3 linked regions of the Rattus norvegicus genome follow. The main gene of each other region encodes a partner of the protein of the gene in region 3 in a complex. Links are inferred from orthologs where the notes say so. Each region holds a gene or a part of one and is shown on either strand. Other genes may lie near its edges.

What was found. Proteins that work in one complex are often made in the same cells at the same time.
Region 1: Nup153 (region 3) and Nup188 share a complex: the UniProt entries of both Homo sapiens proteins name them as parts of the nuclear pore complex. The link is inferred for Rattus norvegicus from reciprocal best matches to the Homo sapiens genes NUP153 and NUP188.
Region 2: Nup153 (region 3) and Nup93 share a complex: the UniProt entries of both Homo sapiens proteins name them as parts of the nuclear pore complex. The link is inferred for Rattus norvegicus from reciprocal best matches to the Homo sapiens genes NUP153 and NUP93.

What each region holds. Positions count from the first base shown.
Region 1 is NC_086021.1:33,954,260-33,961,910, reverse strand, and holds the start of Nup188 (nucleoporin NUP188 homolog), read right to left. Parts: upstream 4,100-7,651; 5' UTR 4,083-4,099; coding exon 4,051-4,082; intron 1-4,050. Other genes in the region: Dolk (dolichol kinase), read left to right, coding at 4,491-6,101. UniProt on the Homo sapiens protein: Component of the nuclear pore complex (NPC), a complex required for the trafficking across the nuclear envelope. Required for proper protein transport into the nucleus.
Region 2 is NC_086037.1:10,789,839-10,797,278, forward strand, and holds the start of Nup93 (nuclear pore complex protein Nup93), read right to left. Parts: upstream 4,100-7,440; 5' UTR 4,037-4,099; intron 1-4,036. UniProt on the Homo sapiens protein: Plays a role in the nuclear pore complex (NPC) assembly and/or maintenance. May anchor nucleoporins, but not NUP153 and TPR, to the NPC. During renal development, regulates podocyte migration and proliferation through SMAD4 signaling.
Region 3 is NC_086035.1:18,204,194-18,211,061, forward strand, and holds part of Nup153 (nuclear pore complex protein Nup153), read left to right. Parts: intron 1-172; coding exon 173-319; intron 320-3,059; coding exon 3,060-3,106; intron 3,107-3,513; coding exon 3,514-3,643; intron 3,644-6,614; coding exon 6,615-6,752; intron 6,753-6,868. UniProt on the Homo sapiens protein: Component of the nuclear pore complex (NPC), a complex required for the trafficking across the nuclear envelope. Functions as a scaffolding element in the nuclear phase of the NPC essential for normal nucleocytoplasmic transport of proteins and mRNAs.

The sequences.
Region 1 (7,651 bases), on a different chromosome or scaffold from region 3:
TGTTGTTGTTGTTTTTTTTTTTTTTTTTTTTTTGGTTCTTTTTTTTTCGGAGCTGGGGACCGAACCCAGGGCCTTGTGCTTCCTAGGTAAGTGCTCTACCACTGAGCTAAATCCCCAGCCCCCTGTTTTTGTTTTTTTAATGCATCGATAGACTATAAATGGGTAAAGATTACCTAGTTACTTACCACTAAGCCTAAAGAATTGAATCCCAGGACCAACTCCCCCTCCACACACACACAGTGGAAGAAAAAAACAGATTCTGGCAAGGTATTCCTGACCTCCACATGCACTCCTTAGCAAACACACACCAACATACATACAATACATAAATAAATACATAAATGTAAAAATATACAAACATACAGATCACTAATCTAAAATTCTAGGAAACAACATAGAACTTTATTTCTAAGAGGCAAAGGGCCAGCCAGGTAGCTCACGGGCACAAACACTTGCTGATAGTTGCTACTCAAGCCTGGAGATCTGCATTCAATCCTTGAAGCCACATTAAGATGAAAAGAGAGTCTGGAAGGTGGTGCTACACACATTTAACTTAGGTACTGGGGAGACAGAGCCAGGCGGGTCTCTGAGTTCAAGCCCAGCCCAGTCTACAGAGTGAGTTCCAGGACAGCCAATGCCACCCAGAGATCCCCTGTCTTGAATCTCGAAAAACCAAAAACCATGGAAGGAGAAAACAGAATTCTGGGGGCTGTCCTCTGACCTGCACACACACACCATGGCACAAACAGAAAGAGAGAATGCGAGAGGGAGGAGTGGGGGAGATGACTGCTATTAGAGAGCACCTGGGGTTGGTTCCCAGCAACCACACCAAGCAGTTCACAAGTGCCTGTAACTCCAGTTCCAGAAGATCAACACCTTCTGGCTTCTGTGGCCACTAACATACCTGGTGCACATAAATTCTTGCTGGTGTACACACATATACATAAAATAAAATCTAAAAATAAATAAAAGCACATCAGACATTGCTTATTCTCCTTAGAGACATCCATCTGGTTGAAACTTTGGGGGGAAGGGGCTGCATTGGCTGCTCTTAGACAGAATCCAGGTTCAATTTCCAGCATCACAAGGTGACTTACAACCCTCTGTGATTTCAGATCCAAGACACTACACAAAGGTGATACACAGACATACATGCAGGCAAAGTACTCACAGACATGAAAATAATAAATAAAATGTTCAAGAAAGAACATTTTAAAGACTTTTGGATGGAAAATAACACTGAGCTACTTGAGTTATTCTCATGAACATAGTCTTTTTTCTTATTATTTTTTAAAGATTTACTTATTTATTATATTTAAGTAGACTGTAGCTGTCTTCAGACACACCAGAAGTGGGCATCAGATCCCATTACAGACAGTTGTGAGCCACCATGTGGTTACTGGGAATTGAACTCAGGACCTTTGGAAGAGCAGTCAGTGCTCTTAACCACTGAGCCATCTCTCCAGCCCCAATCCAGTCTTTTTAAGAAACAGTTATATTCTACACAGAAACAAACACAGCCACTGTCTACCTGATTCCAGAAAGCACAGGCTCTCTTGTAAACTAGGACTTAAACTCAGTAGCAATAGCTTTTAACTTTTTTGAGACAGGGTTTTACTGTGTAGCTCTGACTGGCCTAGAGTTCAGAGATCAGCCTACCTCTACTAGGATTTAATGTGGGCACCACCACGGCCCTGATGGGATTTAATGTGTGCACCACCACACTAGGTCCAGCAATAGCTTTCCAAAAATATCTTTACTTTTTCACACCCTTGCACTACTCAGGCTCTACGAACACATTAACTGAAGAACACCAAGAGACATCAAAATACCAATGTCCAAACCAACTTTCTGCCACATTCTGAGTGACTTTCACAGGATTCTGTGTGGTTGAGTGTCACTCCAGTGCCACTGGTGCTGGCTTCTCTGCACACACCTGCAAATGCAACAACAGAATGACTGGGGGGTCAGGGGGGATGTCACACTGCCAGACCGGTCACAGCTACATAGATCATCAGGTTTCATGGTTGCTCCAATACGCCTCTAAACAACACAAGACTACAGAGATGGCTCAATGGATAAAGCATCTGATAAGAAGACCAAAGAACGCCCTGAATTAGCAAGCTCCAAATTCATTCATCGGGAGGGAGACCCCGCCTTGGTAAAATAAGGATGGACCAAGTAAAGTACCCGACAGCCTCCACAAGCACAAGTGTGCACACACCTTGCACACAAGGATTAAGACGATTTCCATTTGGAGAAGTAGGAGCTTGAAATGACAAGGCGACTTCTAAGACCAGTCATAAAGCAGTAGGTACAAAAACCAGGATGGACGTTTTCTTGCTCCAGATCTCGATCTTTTGAAACACAGCCCACTACTCCAAACTGCTAAGACACATACTTTTCAGTGCTAAAAGTCATTGTGTTAATAGACCAAGGCAGTACCTAGAATCCTACTGCTAGGTGCCCTCAGGTTGTGACTCAGTACTAGAGTGCTTGCCTAGCATTCATGAGGCCCTGGGTTTGACCCCTAGGACCTCAAAACAAAAGTAAAATAAAAACCCTAGGTTCAGTTAAAGTCCTCCCTCCCTCAAAGATAGGTTTGAAGTTCCACAGAAAGCTAAAAGCCTGCTGGCAAGTCAAAATTTTCCTTTCCTTTTGAAAAATTCGGGGTTGGGGATTTAGCTCAGTGGTAGAGCGCTTGCCTAGCAAGCGCAAGGCCCTGGGTTCGGTCCCCAGCTCCGAAAAAAAAAAATTCATTTTTTAAAGTTTTCATACAAGTATTTCTCCATAGCTGTGGATACAAGGCCTAGCATGAAACAACAGGGGGAAGAAAACCAAACTGGCCCCCACAAGAATCACACTTTATCCACAGAAAACTCCAAAGAAATTGCTGCCCGTGGACGGTGAAGAGGCTACTGTAGAGAGAGATAGGCAATGTGATATTTACATGTTTGTCTGGGTGTTTAAGGGTTCAGCAGGGAACAATAGCAAATAAAACTAGCAGAGTCAATTCCGGGCAACAGGGAATGTTTACATTTTAGGGGAGGAGGAGAGGTGAAGACACTTCTCATCTATAACGTGGATACATACAGAGGGCTGATTAAGGCTTTAGAGCCTTCGATCTGAATCCTCATGGGGATTATCACGAGGGGCAGACGAGGGGGACTGACTATGTATGAACTGGACTTCTTAGTCCTGTGTAACAGGAGGTGCGTCTCCTAGTTGTGGGAAATGAATGAGATAAGGCCTGCAAGGCACTTTCCCGGGGTCTGGCGCTAGTAAGCGCTCTTTAAAGGCAAGTGGGGCTCTCGCAATCCATGTCTGTAATTTCCGCACCAAGGAGGCAAAGAAAACAGGGATCTCAAGGCCTGCACGTGATACAAAAGATCTTACCTCAAAAAAGAAAAACAAGAAAGAGAAAGGAAAAGAAAGAAAGAAAGAAAGAAAAGAAAGAAAGAAAGAAAGAAAGAAAGAAAGAAAGAAAGAAAGAACGAACGAACTCCGTGAGAACTATGTTTGTTTTGGGGTAATTCATCTTGTGTCCGAACCCTGGCACAGTACCCGGAATCATTTGGAAGATGAAGGCATGCCTGCTGATTGAATCAATATCAGCATTAGTCAAAAATAAAAGAAGGCGGGAACTAAGGATGCTCGCGGGAAGAACTCGCGGCGTGGGCAAGGCACACCCGAGGCGGTGCAGGGCACAGGGACAGCAAGGCAGGGATCGCGGTGGGGTGGATCTTCCAGAAGACCCCGAAATATCCCGCAGTGCCTACAGGGAGCGTAGTGCAGGAAGCGTGGGTGTATGGGGAAGACAGGAGGCATAGGGACCACGAAGAAAGGAGAGCGGCCGGCCCGCTCCAAAAAGTGTCCTCAGCCCCGCGAGCGGGAACGGTTTGGACCTAACCGCCTCCCCGGCAAGTGTCCGTCCACCCAGCCCGGGCCCGTCTCCGTCACTGCCGCTGGGTCCCGTTTCCAACTCCGGCCCAGCTCCCACCCCGCGCCTCACGGCCACCCCCCACCCTCTCGCTGCGCCCCACTCCGTACCTCACACACGGCCCACCGGCGGCAGCCGCCATCTTCGCGCGCGCGTCCCAGCCCCGCCCCTATACGCTGCACCCACGTGACCGTGCGCCGCCAGACCGGGGGCCTGGGTTTTCAATCACGTGGTGGTGGGCGTGGCTAGGAAGGGGCTGTCAAGATGGCGCTGCCCTGGTGTGAGGCGAGTCCGCGGCGGTGGCAGTGGAGCCTGTAAGAGGTGAAGAGTGCAAACATCTGCTACACCGTAGGTTGAAAGCGGTGGAGGGTGACTGGGCGCCGGCTCCCAGGCCTCAGAGTGGCCCGCGGTGAAGCACTCTTTTGGAAACTGGAGAAGGTCGCTGCCTGGGTGAAATTGCTGCCCCTCAGCTTGGCGGGTTGAGGGCTCCAGAAGCCAAGGCGTCCCTAGTCACCAAGCTTCTTCTCCCAAGATACCCAGGCCTAGAGACATGACCCGACAGTGCCCTCCCCAAGCCCCGGAGTCTGGGTTTGCGCTGAGCGGGTCAGTGCTGGCGGAGGCTGCAGTGGTGTTCGCAGTGGTGCTGAGCATCCACGCTGCAGTGTGGGACCGATACTCCTGGTGCGCCGTGGCCTTAGCAGTGCAGGCCTTCTACGTCCAGTACAAGTGGGACCGGCTGCTCCAGCAGGGGAATGCTGTTTTCCAGTTCCGAATGTCCGCGAACAGTGGCTTACTACCGGCCTCCATGGTCATGCCTTTGCTTGGGCTGGTCATGAAGGAGCGCTGCCTGACTGCAGGGAACCCATACTTCGAGCGCTTCGGCATTGTGGTTGCAGCCACTGGCATGGCAGTGGCCCTCTTCTCCTCGGTGTTGGCACTGGGCATTACTCGCCCGGTGCCCACCAATACTTGTGCCATCTCGGGTTTGGCCGGAGGTATTATCATTTATATTATGAAGCACTCGCTCAGTGTGGGCGAGGTGATCGAGGTCCTGGAAGTCCTGCTAATATTCGTTTATCTCAACATGATCCTGCTGTACCTGCTGCCCCGCTGCTTCACTCCTGGGGAGGCACTGCTGGTATTGGGTGGCATTAGCTTCGTCCTCAACCAGCTCATCAAGCGCTCTCTGACTGAAAGCCAGGGGGACCCAGTGGACTTCTTCCTGTTGGTGGTGGTGGTGGGGATGGTGCTCATGGGTGTCTTTTTCAGCACCCTCTTTGTCTTCATGGATTCGGGCACCTGGGCCTCTTCTATCTTCTTCCACCTCATGACCTGTGTGCTGGGCCTTGGTGTGGTTCTGCCCTGGCTGCACTGGCTCATTCGTAGGAACCCCCTGCTCTGGCTTCTTCAGTTCCTCTTCTACACAGAAACTCGCATCTACCTCCTAGCCTATTGGTCCTTGCTGGCCACCATGGCCTGCCTGGTGGTGCTGTACCAGAATGCCAAGCGGTCATCTTCTGAGTCCAAGAAGCACAAGGCTCCTACCATTACCAGAAAGTATTTCCACTTCATTGTGGTGGCCACTTACATCCCCGGTATCATCTTTGACCGGCCACTGCTGTATGTGGCCGCCACCGTGTGTCTGGCCGTCTTCATCTTCCTGGAGTATGTGCGCTATTTCAGAATCAAGCCCCTGGGTCACACTCTGCGCAGCCTTCTGTCCCTCTTCCTGGATGAACGGGACAGCGGGCCCCTCATCCTGACGCACATCTACCTGCTTCTGGGCATGTCTCTTCCCATTTGGCTGATCCCCAGACCCTGTGCACAGAAGGGCAGCCTCGGAGGAGCAAGAGCCCTGGTCCCCTATGCTGGGGTCCTGGCTGTGGGTGTGGGCGATACTGTGGCCTCCATATTTGGCAGCACCATGGGGGAGATCCGCTGGCCTGGAACTAAGAAAACATTCGAGGGAACTATGACATCTATATTTGCACAAATCATCTCTGTGGCTCTGATCCTAATCTTTGACAGTGGAGTAGACCTGAACTACAGCTATGCTTGGATTTTGGGGTCCATCAGCACTGTGTCGCTTCTGGAAGCATACACAACTCAGATAGACAATCTCCTGTTGCCCCTCTACCTACTGATTTTGCTGATGGCCTAGTACCGAATAGCAGCTGTAATGGGGGAACGGAAATTGGGAGAATGAATGGTCCTCACAGCAGCTAGCCGCTTGGACACCAAGAACTAAGGGATGAAAGGCAGATTTAGCTTCCTCCCAGAAGATGAAGCCAGAAAGTTGATTCAGACTTAAAATAAAGAAGCAAAGCTTTCCTGGTTTTATTGTTGCTGATATTTAAAATACAGAAAAAGGCTAAAGGCATACACACCAATTCAGGGAAGTTGAATGTGCTGCAGAGCCCCCATTTTATAATCTGGGTAGGGCATGGCTGGAGCACACCCTGGAGGCAGCAGAACAGAAAGCTTAATGCTTGGGTATTCTGTGTCAAATAAATCTGATCAGAATCCTTGGCCATACAGCTTAACTGTATGGCCTTAAGAGAGTCTAAGCCTCAATTGTTCTGTCTTTAAGATAGGAATAATGACAGGCTGACTCTCTGGATACTGGAAGTCTTTATCGAGAGGAGCTGTGTAAAGTATCTAAAGTATTCAGCCTGGGTGACAGTGAGATGGCTCAGTGGATACAAATACTTGCAACACAAGACTGAGGACCTGAGATTAATACCTAGAACCCCCACAAAGGTGAAAGGAGAGAACTGAGTCCACAGACTTTTCTTTCAACATTCACATGGGCATATTGGCTCTCGCACACCTTCGCAGATGTCACACACACATAAGCTAATGATAATTTTAATTATTCAGACTGTGACCCACCCATGATGGGTCAGTACGGGAAAGTGTCAGGATTACCCAAGGATAATCCCATCTCAGCCAAGATAGAAGGAAGATAGTTTGTACTTGGAAGCCAGAGTGACCTTTCCTCTCCTGGCTTCGCTCAGAGGAAAATCCCAAGAGGGAAAGAGCTAAACGCATGAAGTGTCGCCTGCTTTGCCTAGGAGAACGGAAAGGAGGCCATAGGTCAGTCTGTGTCCATAGAAAGGCTGAAGAAGGGGTTGGGGATTTAGCTCAGTGGTAGAGCGCTTGCCTAGCAAACGCAAGGCCCTGGGTTCGGTCCCCAGCTCCGGAAAAAAGGAAAAAGAAAAAAAAAAAAAAAAAGGCTGAAGAAAGCTGGCCCCACCCTGCCTCTGCTACCCGGAGGGAGGCAATAATAGCTAGGATGAACCCAACAGTCCTTACAATCCAGACCTGTCCAAACCTGTATTAATCTCTTCAGGTACAGAGTCCAGATCCACAGAGGCTGGGGACTTCCTGGAGAATTTGTAACAGTTCCACTGTAGGTGTGGGTGCAGGCTGTCTAGTCCTTTGCCTGAGTCTCCTCCTAGGGTTCACACAGAGCCTGGACCCAGGCAAGAACTTGGTAGACATTGACTAAGACTAAAATGGACAGTTGCCCATGTGAGAAGATAACAGCAGGGTTCCCAAGGCCTTCCCCGAACAGGCCAGGGGAGGTATGAACAGGTCAGAAGCCAGGAATGTCTACTTCTGGGAATCACTGCCAAGCCCTTCCCCTCAGAGCACTGGGCTGCTCCTCTGGGGCCAATGAAAAGTAACAAGCCCTATCTTCACAAGTTC
Region 2 (7,440 bases), on a different chromosome or scaffold from region 3:
CCCTCCCCTGCCACATTGTAACCACTGAGCAAATAATAGCATTAAGGCCAATTCAAGTCAACCCAATACTATGGTTTATATATAGTTGAAGCTATCCAAGACTCCAATGTGGCAATACTCAGATGTGATAGGACCTTTAAGGAGTTGAGCCTAGTGAGGAGCCCCTCCTTGTTCCTGCTCCCCCCCCCCAAGTGTCTGTCATGACACCTGCTAATTAACCTGAGTTAATTTATTCTGAAAAGACATAAATACCTATACGAATCCACTTGTTTATTCTACCACTATCACCCTACTCCAAGCCACTCCATGCCTCATCCAAGATCACAGTAGCTTCCCTATTCCTATACTGACCTCTGCTACCCATATGTTCTCTTCCATATATATGAAAGGGGGAATAAAGGCTAAGCCTTCAATAATTCCCATTACCTGTACACTCAAGTCCAGCCTAATGTGATAATAATTGCCCGCCTATGATCCCGACTACCCAGAAAGCTGAGGCAGGTGGTCCTGTAGCATATATGAGCTCTGTGTGTGCTGAGATCTCCATCATGTGTCCATGAATCAACCCTTGCCCTTCTGTTCCCACTCTTCCCCATGACTATATAACCATATGGCCTCCTGCTGGTTTTCAAATATGCTAAACTCAAGAGCTGTCACTGCCCTCTGCAGGAACCACTTCCTCTGCAGCTACAGAGCATTTGCCCCTAAATGTGGGCGAGGCCTATCCCCTTACTCAATTCAGGTCTCTGCTCACGGGTCTCCTTTGTGAAGATGCTACTAAGACGCTCCACATAAAGGAGTCCCACCATTTCTACGGTTTATCCCATAAGAAGTGCATGTCAAAACCAGGTCTTCTAACAGTGTCCTTGAGTCTGGCAAGCTTGTCCTGCTTTTTTTTTTTTTTTTTCACTGCATGAATTCCTAGTGCAATGAACAAAAAGTAACTAATACACCAAAGACACCCGAAAACTACTGGAGGGAGAAGAATAAGGTTATTCCTTTAGTTGACCTTACAGATCAGCACAGGAATGTAGAACAGAAATTTCTGGAGGTGCTTGAGGTTTTCCTGGTAGTCAGTAACTGTGTACTGGAGTTAGATTAAGCTACTATTTGAGCGCATTGGTGGAGTAAAGTGGCCTTTAGTCCTTACAAACAGAAGGCCGCTGACTGCGAAAAGTGAGTTCAGCGCAAGCGTGAGGATGCGAGTTTGAATCCCCAGTACCCATGTATAAAGCTGAATGTGGTGGCATCAATTTGACACCAGCACTGAGGGAGGGATGGACAGAGACTGGTAGATCTTGGGTGACTCATTGGTAAGCTGGTCTAGCCAATTGGTAGGCTCCAGGTTCAGAGAGAGTTGCTGTCTCAAAAAGCAACAAAAACATCCAACGCCAACCTCAAGACTCCTGACCTGGGACATCCACAAACACGCATGGGCATGCATCTCACCACCCCCAACACACACACACACACACACACACACACACACACACACACACACACAATCAAATGCATACAAAGTATAAAGCTACAAAACATTTCAACCTTTAGGTTATTTGAAACAGAGGAGAGAGAACTATAAGAGGCCATAAAATAAGGCAAAAAAACAAACAAACAAACAAACAAACAAACAAACAAAACTCCTGCATCTTTAAATTCTAATTCTTTCTCCAAACCAATTCTTTCTACTCGTCTATCTGATAGCTACTCCTGACTGATCTATGAGTGCCAGCGACAATTCTAGTTCCTCATCTTAGGTCCCCACAACAGTCAATTTAACCAGAAACCATCTGGCTCCCCTCTCCCCCGAGCCCAGCCTATCTCCAAGTTTACTTCTCATACCTCATAACGAGTCACACCCTCACCTTTCCTCTCTGCTCTGACCCTCATAACTTCCTCCAATTACCTCAACAGCCTAAAACTTCCCATTTCTTCTAACCCAGTCTTGCTGTGGCCAAAGTGGATATTCCAAAATACCTCCTACTTTAGACCATCAGGGGCACCTTCAACCTCAGGTTGTGACCTGGCTGCATGCTCTGTAGAATAGACAGTGCCATGCACCATCTTCGACTCCTCCCCAGCTGTACCCTGACAGTTCTCTATGCCTTAGGAAGCTCTGCATAGTTTCCTTCCTTCATGCTCCAGTCCATGTCAAGTACACTCACATCCTCACCAGACACAGGGAGCTCCTAAGCATACTGCCAAGTCAGAGGGCTGCTCTAACCTACCCAAAGGACTCCCTAATTATACTGAACGTTCTTCCCTAGTGGAGCAATTGCAACCACTTCTTCTCAAACATGTCTTCCTGTAGGGAAAGGTTCACAAATATTTAACCCTGAATCCTGAGCATCTAGCTAAGCCTGGCACACAACAGAACTAAAAATGTGTTTGCTAATTAAAATGACCAGTGACCATAACAGACTTGGGTCTTCTTCCTGATCTTTACTCTGTCACACACACACACACACACCCACACTTCTAAATGTAACTACCTCATAGGCCCAGGGGTTAGAGAGATGGCTCAGCAGTTAAGAAAACTTACAGCTCTTTAGAGGACCCCAGTTTAGTTCCCAGCACCCACATCAGTGATTTACAGCTAGCTGTCTGTAACTCTAGCTCCAGGGAACCAGACACTCTCTTCTGGACTCCATACATATATCCATATACATAAAAGTCACACAAGAAGGAGGGGGGAGGGGGACAGAGACCCCAAACTCACCACAGCTCCAACAGTTCATCTCTCATGGTGTGTGTGTGTGTGTGTGTGTGTGTGTGTATACACACACATACATACATATACACACACACATATATGTACATATGTATATACACTCATATGTATATATAATATATATTATATATATGATGTCTTCCCAAGAAACAAGCCTGTCTCATTCACCACCACATTCACAAGCCTATAATGATATCAATAACATTCATTTATTTGGTATTTATTGAGCACCTACTTTATTGTGTGCCAGACCCAGGTTCTAGGTAGGCGCTCATGTTCTACAGCGGAGAGACAAGACATAGGTCGAGTAGAACCTAAATATTGGAATACAACTAAGGCAGTGAAGACAAGGAGTGAGGAAAGGTTTACACTCTAAATGCCCCTCTAGAGCTGGCAAAACAGACATCCAACCACAAGAACTAAGACCTGAAGTCAAAGCATGTCTAGCAGTGGTAGCGGTGGGGGGGGGGGGGGGTGTAACAGACTCTGAGAATGTGGGTCACATTATTTAAAAGCCTTACAGCTCACTATGGGGGGGGGGCTTATATTATTGTTGTTATTATTATTACTATTATTACTAAAGCACTGACCTTTGCTTGTGCTGAAAGTCATCTAGGGAACTAGGGGTGGATGATGATGATGATGATGATGATGATGATGATGATGATTATTACTGTTATTGTTACTAAAGTGCTGACCTTTGCTTGTGCTGAAAGTCATCTAGTGAGGTAGGGGTGGGGCAGGGTCTAATGTAGACCAGCCTGGCTCCAACTCCCTTTGACAGTGACACCATGCCCGGCATGCTGTGATTTTCTTTTAGAAGGGACCCAATATATTTGGGCACTCCTTACAGAAGATAGGATACAGGGTACCCAGAAACAGAAGAGACAACCGGAGTGGCAACCATTAGCATCCTGTTGGATTATCCGTAAAAGGAGACAACAGTTGACAGGGGTTCGCTGGGTGGCCTCCCTTCACCCGGAAAAGCCATTCTCTAGAAGAACGCCCCCCACGACCCACAGAGGGCAGCCAGGCCTAGTGACGCCTGGCAGCCGTGGGTGGGCGTGGCGATAGTGCACCAGTAGGAAGGACCACGCTCAGAAGAGCCTAGTCACAGCACTCGGTGAGCTGTCGCCGGTCGGCGTGCCCAGCCAGCCACCACAAGAAAGGAAGCGCGAGCCTCGTGGCTACGAACATAGGATGGAGTTCGAGTTAGGCTCGGGGTTCTGCTTCGAGGCCAGACCCCGAACTCGGGCCAGGCCCAGGATCGGGGTCGCGTGGTCGCCCACGCCGCACATGCCTTACCTGGCTCTGCCGCCTGCTCGCCGCCAGCTCCCGGCTACTTCACTACGCCGCCGCCGCCGCTTCTCGCGCCGCTCGCCCGCGCTTCTTGATTGGCTGAGGCGGTCAGCTCCCAGAAGCCCCTGCGCGTTGCGCCGCCAAGTGAACTTTATGGAGATCCGCAAGAGAACACAGACGTGGGCGGGGCTGGGGCGGAACCAGGGGCGGAGCTGTCGCTACAAGTAAGTCAAGGGAGCTCCGCCCTTCTCCCGCCCACGTAGTTCAGGTTGACAGTACTTGAGAAAGCATTTCCGCAGTTCCCACAGCTGGACCAAACCAGAGAGCTCAGCTACTCGCTGTAGAGCTCTAGGCAAGTGCCTGGGCTTGTTCTAGGTGTTGGGGACACGGTGACTTCCGCAGCAGACAAGATCCCTGACTTCAAACGATTCTCAGCTTGGCCAGGGAAACAAAATATAGTGAATAAATACAGGAGTAATTAGGAGAGCTAAGAACAGAAAAGCAAATTAACTGAAGAAAAATGGTTGGGTTACCAAGGAAGGCTTCTCTCAGGTGACATTCTGACTAAAAGGTGGAAGCTAAAAACATGTTTTGGAGTTTTTAAGGGAAAAGTCTGTGTTTTGGCAGTCTGAACAAGCAAGCTAGGTTGGCCGCCTGCCCCAGTAGGCCAATTACAGAAAAGAACAGTGGTGAAACTTCAAAGAGATTTACTTCAGTGTAGCCATGTTGGGAAGTGGAACAAAGTGTGTCACTGGGATATATAAGAATCCTTCTGGAGGTTCTTAGTTTAGTAAGTAAAAAGAAATTTGAAAACAGACCCAGAAGGAAGACAATTTTGCTGGAAGTTTGAGAGAAAAATAACAGTACAGGCGGGTTGGGGATTTAGCTCAGTGGTAGAGCGCTTGCCTAGGAATCGCAAGGCCCTGGGTTCGGTCCCCAGCTCCGAAAAAAAGAAAAAGAAAAGAAAAGAAAAGAAAAGAAAAGACAAAACAGTACAGGCAAGCTACAGATCTCAGCAACTGCTGGGAGGAGAATGTGTGTGTGTGCGTGTGTGTGTGTGTGTGTGTGTGTGTGTGTGTGTGTGTGTGTGTCCTTGTGCCCAAGGGGGCCAAAAAAGGTCATCGGATCTGCCGGAGTGGTTGTGAGACATGGGTACTAAGAAGGAAACCCAACAAGTCCTTTGCAAGAGAAGTATGCTAAGCCATTGCTTCAGCTCCCATAATAGCGTTTACTTGTTAAAGAGGCATTTTTTGGGTTGCACAGTCTCAGACATGTCTAATCTTTCAGTGAAGGTCACCCACCTGACATAATGAGGTACATGTGAACACAGGCCTAGATAAAATTGTCACCATTAATAATTCTAGTTTGGTGGATGCCTGCCTGATAAAGTGTTCTATTAAGCTTTGCCTGATATGCTTAGGGAACCTAAACACACTTATCGGTCAAGGAAGCCCACAATAATTAGCATGTCAGCCGCATAGAACTTCTTTCTGCCTGCATGTGTATGTCTATACATTTGTGTATGTACATACATAAGTGTATGGGCAGCTATGTGCACACGTGTTTGGAGGTCGGAGGTCGCTGTTGCGTGGTTTCCTCTATCCCTTTCCACCTTTTTTTTTTTTTTTTGAAGCAGGCTCTCTCACTGAACCCAGAGCTCACCGATGGGCACAGATAACTAGCCAGTGAGCTCCAGGGATCCACCTGTCTCTGCCACCCTCCCCTTAGTGCTAGGGTTAAAGGGGCTTCCCACCACACTTGGCTTTTACTTGGGCACTGGGGATCAGAACTTAGGTTCTCATGTTTGCTCAGAAGGTACTCTACCAACTAAAATGTCTGGCCAACCATAAAGGTCTTTACTTTTATGACATTAATTAATGTGCCAGGAGACAGAGAGAGAGAGACAGAGAGAGAGAGACAGAGAGAGAGAGAGAGAGAGAGAGAGAAGAGATAGCTCTGTGTGTGTGTATGTGTGTGTGTGTGTGTGTGTGTGTGTGTGTGAGTGTGTGTGTGTGTTCCCAGGTCCTTAGACTTGGTAACAGTGTCTTTATCCGCTGCACCATCATGCTAGCCCCAGAAATTCTGTTTTGTTTTAACTTCATGGATATGAGGGTTTTGAGTGCATGTGTGTATGTGTTCTGTCTTTGTGGGCCAGATGCCCACAGAAGCCAGAACAGGGCATTGAATCCCCCTGAAACTGGAATTACAGACAGTTGTGGGCCAGCCTGTAGGTGCTGGAAATAGAACCTGGGTCCTCTCCAAGAACAGTGAGCACTCTTTATACCACCAAGCCAATTCTCTAGTTGCCCCCCACACCAATAAGTTCTTTATAAATTAACCCAGCTTCTATTTTTCCAGCAAAATTTAGAACTTTTGGCTCAGTGAGCTCTACAGCAGTGGGTCTCAACCCTCTACTGTGACCCCTTAATACAGCTCCTCACGCCGTGGTGACCCCCAACCGTAAAATTACTTTGTTGCTACTTCATGATATAATTTTTCTACAGTTATGAGTTATAATATAAATATCTGATATGTAGGATATCTGATATGTGGCTCCTAAAGGGGTCTCAATCCACAGGTTGAGAACTGCCAGTCTACAGAAATGACAAAAATCAATACTTTAGGACTTTCTCTTGCCTATGTAGGGAAGGGGAGTGGTGACCACAAGTGATCATTTTCTAATGTCTAAGGTGTGTCTCATGTACAATAGTAAATCTCATCTCGTCAAGCAAATAAATATTGGCCAGTGTCTTTGTTAGGGTTTTACTGCTGTGAAGAGATACCATAACCATGGCAACCCTTATAAAGGGAAACAGTTAACTGGGACTGGCTTACGGTTCAGAGGTTTAGTCCATTATAGTCATATCGGGAAGGATGGCAGCATGCAGGCAGGCATGGTACTGGAAAGGCTACATCTGGATTGGCAGACAGCAGAAAGAAAAAAATGACAGTGGACTGGGCTTGAGCTTCTGAAACCTCAAAGTCCACTCTGACACACTTCCTCCAACAAGGCCACACCTACTTCAGCAATACCATACCTCCAATAGTGCCACTCCCTATGGGTCTATGGGGGCCATTCTCATTAATTAATTTATCCACCTTATATCCTGACCACAGCCTCCCCTCTTTTCCCAGCCCCCACCTCGCACAGCCACAGCCATTCCTCCCATGCCCTTCTCCTCTGAGAACAGGGAGGCTCCCTGGGGTACCAACCCACCCAGGCATATCAAGTCACTGAAGATTGGGCACATCCTCTCCCACAGAGTCCAGGGAGCCCAGTAAGGCAGGCAACAGAGTCAGGGGCAGTCCCCTGCCCCTGTTGTTGGAGGACCCACATGAAGACAAAACTGCACTTCTGTTGCTTATGTGCCAGAGGGCCTAGGTCCAGCCCATACATGCCTTGGTTGGTG
Region 3 (6,868 bases):
TTTTGTGTGTGTGTGTGTGTGTGTGTGTGTGTGTGTGTGTGTGTGTGTGAGAGAGAGAGAGAGAGAGAGAGAGAGAGAGAGAGAGAGATTGATATTAACTATTTTGGAATAATTTGAGCTATACCACTGTTAAATAAGATTTTTTTTTTTTTGATTTCTCTTTTCTTATAAGGTGGACTCTCAGTATCCCCCTGTTCAGAGACTAATGACCCCAAAGCCAGTTTCCATAGCAACAAATAGAACTGTCTATTTTAAACCATCTCTGACCCCATCTGGTGACTTAAGGAAGACTAATCAAAGGATAGATAAAAAGAACAGTGTGAGTTTGATTGTTTATTCTGTTTTCTTAAGACAGTGTCTTGCTATGTAGCTGGTCTGGAACTCAGTAGATAATTAACCTCACGTTCGTTCATATCAGTTACATTGCTTCGCCTTTCAAGTGCTGGGTTATATAGGTGGATCAACCACCACATCTGTTTGAGTGTATTTTTTATCCATTTATTTTTTTCTTCTTGAACTAGTCTTTGAATATTGGCTGGATTGAATAAGGAAGAAAATGTAAATTAGAGGCCCACTGGTGTCATCTGGTAATTGTATGGTGTATGATGTCTGTAAACTGGTGAAGAGTTAGAATTGATATCCCTTCAGAATAGCCTTTACATTGATCAAATCCTAAATTTGTATGGGTAAATTTACTGCTTAAATAAGTTTTGTTAGGTTTACTTATCTATGAATTTTATTTGTGTGACTGATATATAAAAAGTTTCAGATGTCATCTCATTTGACTGAAGTAATTTTATATTAACTCATCTTTAAAAAATATGTATACAGTTTTATCTGCTTCTCTAAACTAGAACCCAAAGTTTTAGATACTGCTTTTGGGTTTTTCCCCCTAGATCACATAATGGTTTATTTTTTTGAGATGTTTTATGTACCATAAAGTTAAGTATTTGATGCTTATTCATTAGTGGTTTTAGAACATCCATAGGCGTTGAGCCATAACTGTGTTAAGTTGTAGGACATTTTCATAATTTCCTAAACTTTTTTAATAACTGTTGTCAGGGTAATGGTAATGATTATATACTTGTAGCAGATACTATTGTTTTTAAAGCAGGGTATTATTTCATAAAATGGTTTTATGGAACTTATTACTTGGGCTCTTTGGAGTCTTTTCAGAGTTTGCTCTAATGTATAATGCTGCTGTAGACTTACTTAGGTACACTTTTGTGGGTATGAGTTTTTATTTTTCTTAGGTCTTTGCCTAGGAGTGGAATTGCTAGGCATGTTTTTAAAGAGACCAGGCTAGTTGTCAAAATGTCTCACATTTTGGGTTACTTGTCATTTACTTTAGAGAAAGTTTTTTTAGTTTATCGTTTTACTGTTTGTGCCTACACTCTTTTCCAGTCTCATAAAAACAGCTCAGTTTCTTGAAAAACATTACATTTGGTAGACTAGTGTAGTGATTACCCAGGTACTAGCTAATATTAGTTTATTAGTCATTAATTTTTTGTCGTATTAGGGTATCTTTATTGAACCTTCCTATTTTCAAGAGTAAAAAATATTATTATTAATAATTAGTCAAGCCTAATTGCTTGTCAAGGCTTCCAAGGCAAGTGCTTTACCACAGAGCTACATCTCAGCTTGTAAGAAAAGTACTAGTATTTTACTAAATTTGTCTCTTTCCCCCCTCTGTTTATTTTACAAATTAGGATTCTCTGTAGTAGATAATAGAGTTCAAACCCAAGAAGAGAATCTTGGTGCTGCACAAAACTATAAATTTTATTTAGATGTTAAATACTGACAGACATCATCAAGACCGTGACATGTAGTTGTCATCTGTCTTTGTCTTCATTAATCTAGAATATTTTTGAAAAGACGAGTTAGTTACTGTATAGAATGCACAGCGCTAAGAGATTGTCCTGGGTGGGTCTAGATTCTGGTTATTCCTGGTTATCCACTGAAGGAGGGTTGAGCTCATCTTAGGGCTCAAGTGGAACTTATCCTGTTTTTTTTTTTTTTTAAAGATTTATTTTTTATTTTATGTATATAATAAGTACACTGTCACTGTCTTCAGGCACACCAGAAGAGGGCATTAGATCCCATTACAGATGATTGTGAACCACCCTGGTTGCTGGGAATTGAACTGAGGACCTCTGGAAGAGCTGTCAGTGCTCTTAACCACTGAGCCATCTCTCCAGCCCTCTCCTGTCTATTTTTGATCCCATTAGCATTATTGAGAATTTTTGCCTCAAGCTGTTTTTGATTGCACTGTGGTAGACTTTTAGTTCTATTGTTCTTTTTCCATCTATTGATTGGCCCTTTGCTGTAGAGAATTTTCTGTGTTTAACTGAATCCTTAATTTTAGAGTTGCTTCTTTGATGCTTATCTTCCCCTGTATTTGCCTTTGAATGGATTCTGTGTCCTTTTATTATGCCCCATCAGTTTTGGGTATCTTATTTTTTTATATTGCAAGGTAATTCCGAATCTTGTACATTTCTGGTTCTCTGATAGTTCTGATGAGTTGGGAGTACTTTATATCTCAGATTCTGTCCTTGTAAAGTTGTCTATCATTTAGTACAGCAAAAAGGAAAGTTGTCCCCTAAAAGTCAGTGTGACCTTTGGACTAGTAGATGTGTGACATTTTGTATATATGCTCATATTACAGTGCACAGTGCAGTTGTGACCTTTGGTTAGCATTCAAACACAATGTCTAAATTACATATACCAAGGCCATTAGAAAATCAAATTTTTAATTTCAAATAATAAAATTTATAAGTAAAAGGATGTTAAGAGAGTTTGAATCTATGGATGTAGCTTTCAGTGGTGGAAGTACTTGCCTTGCATTTGATAAGGCTGAGTTAATCACAGCACTGAAAAAAAAAACTAAGCCAGAAATGCTCACCTGTGATCTCTGCACTTGATGGGTGGAGGCAGCGGGAACTAGATCTCAAGTTCAGTCTGAGCTGTATACGGAGTTCGAGGCACTCCTCATTATTACCCCACTCCCCAAATAATTGTCATTTTTTAAATAAAATCCTCATACTATTTTTTTCTTTCAGACTGTAGATGAAAAAAATATCTCAAGACAAAATAGAGAGCAAGAAAGGTAATGTCATCATATACTGCAAATGGATTTCTTTATATTTGTAGGGTTCATATTTACAATAGCCTTGAAGATAAAGAAAATTGAAACGTATACTTAGGTGGTGAGCGAGATGCTCAGCAGGTCAGGGTACTCTACCAAACCTGAAACCTGTGTTTAGTCCCACGTAGTGGAAGGAGAGACCTGACTGCCAAGAGCTTTCCCACTAACCTTCACAAGCTGCCCATACTAAGATCATGTGTGCTTACATGCCCATGAATGTATGAATACATAAATAAATGCAGAAGAAATTTCAAAGTATATTTGGCTATACCCTAATTGTTTTGTTAGCTGATCTGGTGTTTGAATATTTAACAGTTTCTGCAACAAAATATTGAAATTGTTCTAATTTTCTTTTTTTTGTTTGCTAGTGGCTTTTCATACCCCAATTTCAGTATTCCTGCAGCCAATGGTTTATCTTCTGGAGTAGGTGGTGGAGGTGGCAAGATGAGAAGAGAGAGAACAACACATTTTGTTGCTTCTAAACCTTCAGAGGAGGAGGTAGGCTCACATTTTATAGAACTTTGAGAGGGTCGGGGTGAAGTAAGGCCTATAGGAATGGGGCTTGAAGATTTGGAGTGAAGAGTATCGACCATTGAAACCATCCTTTCGACCATTGCTCTAATACCCAGCCCAGAGGCCTCAACTTCACGAATTGGGTAAAATAACTTTAAAAAACCCCTCCACCTTTTTATTTTATGTATTTTTGTATGTGAGATAATTCCCATCGACATTATTGGATTCTCTGGTTGCTGCCTTCGGGTTTTGCTTGTTTCTCAAGTGTACATACGATTAACACTGTGTACTCTCTCTGCGATGGTTCATGTTTAATGGAACAATGGAATTTACATTTCTCTGCTGTTTATCCTTTGTGCAGATTTACTACAATTAGTCCATTCTCTCATCAGGGTACATTTGGGCTGATCCCCAGTATGTGCTAAGGTGAATATTGATACACTTCTCCTTTGCCATGTGCAGTTTGGTCTGGAGGATATTTACCAGGAATGAGGTTTTTGGACTACAGGATTTGACATGTCTTTAAATGTGTTGTTGGTCTTGGCTATTATTCTCTTCACAACACTCCATGTGATCATAGATGGATCTTAATTTTTAAAATTTTTCCTTACTAGCATTTGGTTTTGGTCCATTTCTAGTGTGATAGCTAGAAAAAAAGTCACCCGGGCTTTATTTTGCGTCTTGTTTCATGGGAAGGAGGAATCTTTTGTATGTGTTTTGTGACCATTTAGGTTTGTCTTTTATTATTTTCCTATTAATTAGGATGAGTTCTTGGACTGGTGAGGTAGCTCTGGGTAGAGGTGCTGCTGCCAATCTGGTGACTTTAGTTTCATCCGTTCCCATGGTGGAATAGGAGGTCTGAGTCTGCGGGTTGTTGGTTAACCGCCACATGTGTGTGTTTACATGTGCACACACACAAACACACACAGAAGTAGGTAAATTTGAAAAAGAATTGATCTCTAGGTATTGTTTAGATATAGAACATAGAGACTAATTGAAGATTGGTTAAATTGACTTTCTGTCTAGAGATTGCTCATTTTATTTATTTATTTTAGCTACTTTTTGAGTTGGAACATCCCGTTTCAGTCTTCTTAAAATTGATTTCATCCAAGCTAAATCATTTTAGGCTTTCACCACCTTCTAAGATGTTCAACTTACTTGCTCCTTTAATTGGAATGTAGGGCTTTATAAACTTTTATGTGTAGGGGTGCTTTGACTGCGTGTTATTTCTTTGCACCACACACATGCAATGCCCATGGAGGTTTGAAGAGGGCGTTGCAGTCCTTCAAATTGGAGCCATGGATAGTTGTGAACCACCATCTAAGGTTGGGAACTGACTGAACTCAGCCCTCCTGCAACAGCAGCCAGTACTCTTAACAAGGCAGCCATCTTTCCAGCCTTGGGGACTTAATACTTTGACTTACTTGTTTCCAGTTACAATTTCTCATTATGTTTATTGTATTTTAAAGTTTAAAACTTATATTTCATTAATAGGGATTTTTTTTCTAGTATGTGATTGTGGTCACATGTGTGGAGACCATTGGACAGCATCAGGCATTGATCTTTGTCTTCCTCTTTGTTTGATACAGGATCTCTGTTGTTTGCTGTGTTCATGCCAGGCTAGCTGGCTGGTAACTGCTGGGAATTCTCATCTATGCCTCCCGGTTTGTTATGGGAGCAGGGGGATTACCAGATATTTGCTGCCTGTGGTTTTATGAACTCAGGTCCTCACACTGGTCAAAAGAGCTTTTTCCCACTGAATTATCTTCCTCAGCTCAGTGTTTGTTGTTTGAAGTTGAATTTAAAATCTGTCAGTGTTTGCTTTTATAGATTTTTGTGCAGTTTTTTCACTCCAATTTTTTCCCCTGGTTAGTTTTGCTTCTTGAGTACCAGAATGAAAACTCCAGCAATGTAACTTTGTTAGGATTATGCTAAGGGCTTTGGTTTAGTTGTCTGGGGGTTGTTTTTGCTTGTCACTGGAGTGTTGTAAAGGGACATGTTCTGCCTTTTTGAAAGAAAACTTGAGCTTTGAATGCCCTTGGTCATACAATATGTACATTTTGTACTTTGTATGGCATACTCATTTGGTTTTTTCCCTAAAAAGTATATTTATGTGTGTGAGTACACTGTAGCTGTCTTCAGACACACCAGAAGAGGGCATCAGATCCCATTACAGATGGTTGTGAGCCACCATGTGGTTGCTGGGATTTGAACTCAGGACCTCTGGGAGAGTAGCAGTCAGTGCTCTTTTTTTTTTTTGTTGTTGTTCTTTTTTTTCCGGAGCTGGGGATCGAACCCAGGGCCTTGCGCTTCCTAGGCAAGCGCTCTACCACTGAGCTAAATCCCCAACCCGCAGTCAGTGCTCTTAACCACTAAGCCATCTCCCCAGCCCTTGATTTGCTTTTTTAAAAAAATGTTTTAGGTGTTCCTGTATGGAGTGTGCGTATGTGGGTTGTGCTCTTGAGACATGTGTGGCATTGTTTCATAGTGGAGCCCTAAATGTAATACAGAGGAAGACATTTCCCCCATTTTAAAATACTTTTTTTTTTAGTTGGTGTGTGTGTGTGTGTGTGCGCGCGCACGCGCGCACAGTCAGTGTTTGCTATGGTGGACAACTTTTAGGAGGAGGTTTTCTTATACCACTCTGGGTTCTGGGGATAGAGCTCAGGTCGTCAGACTTCTCCAGTGTGCAGTTTTGCCTGCTCAGCCTGCTCGCCGACTCTTATTCTTATAAGATTGGAAATTGGTGCTGAAATTAGGTTACATGGCAGTTGGTGTCACAACTGGGAATTCAAGCCTTGTTTAGGTTTTTAATTCAAGTGCTCTTGTTAATTTTGCATGGGGTCTGCTTTCTTCATATTTAAAACTTGATCATAGCTACGTCATTTCTCTTTGAACATAGTAAAATAATAAAAGCACATGACATGACATTCTTACAAAACATGCTGTGTTTTAGGAAGTAGAAGTACCATTGTTACCGCAAATCTCTCTACCAATCAGCAGTTCTTCACTGCCCACCTTCAACTTTAGTTCCCCTGCGATCTCGGCTGCTTCTTCGTCATCAGTCAGCCCTTCTCAGCCATTATCAAACAAGGTATATAGAACCACTGTATAAGTGAGGTTATGTCTGTTTTTACTCTTTAATTTTTAAAAGTGGTTTTCACTATAAAAATCAACTCAAACTAAGAGAAAAATGGAAAAAATATTGGG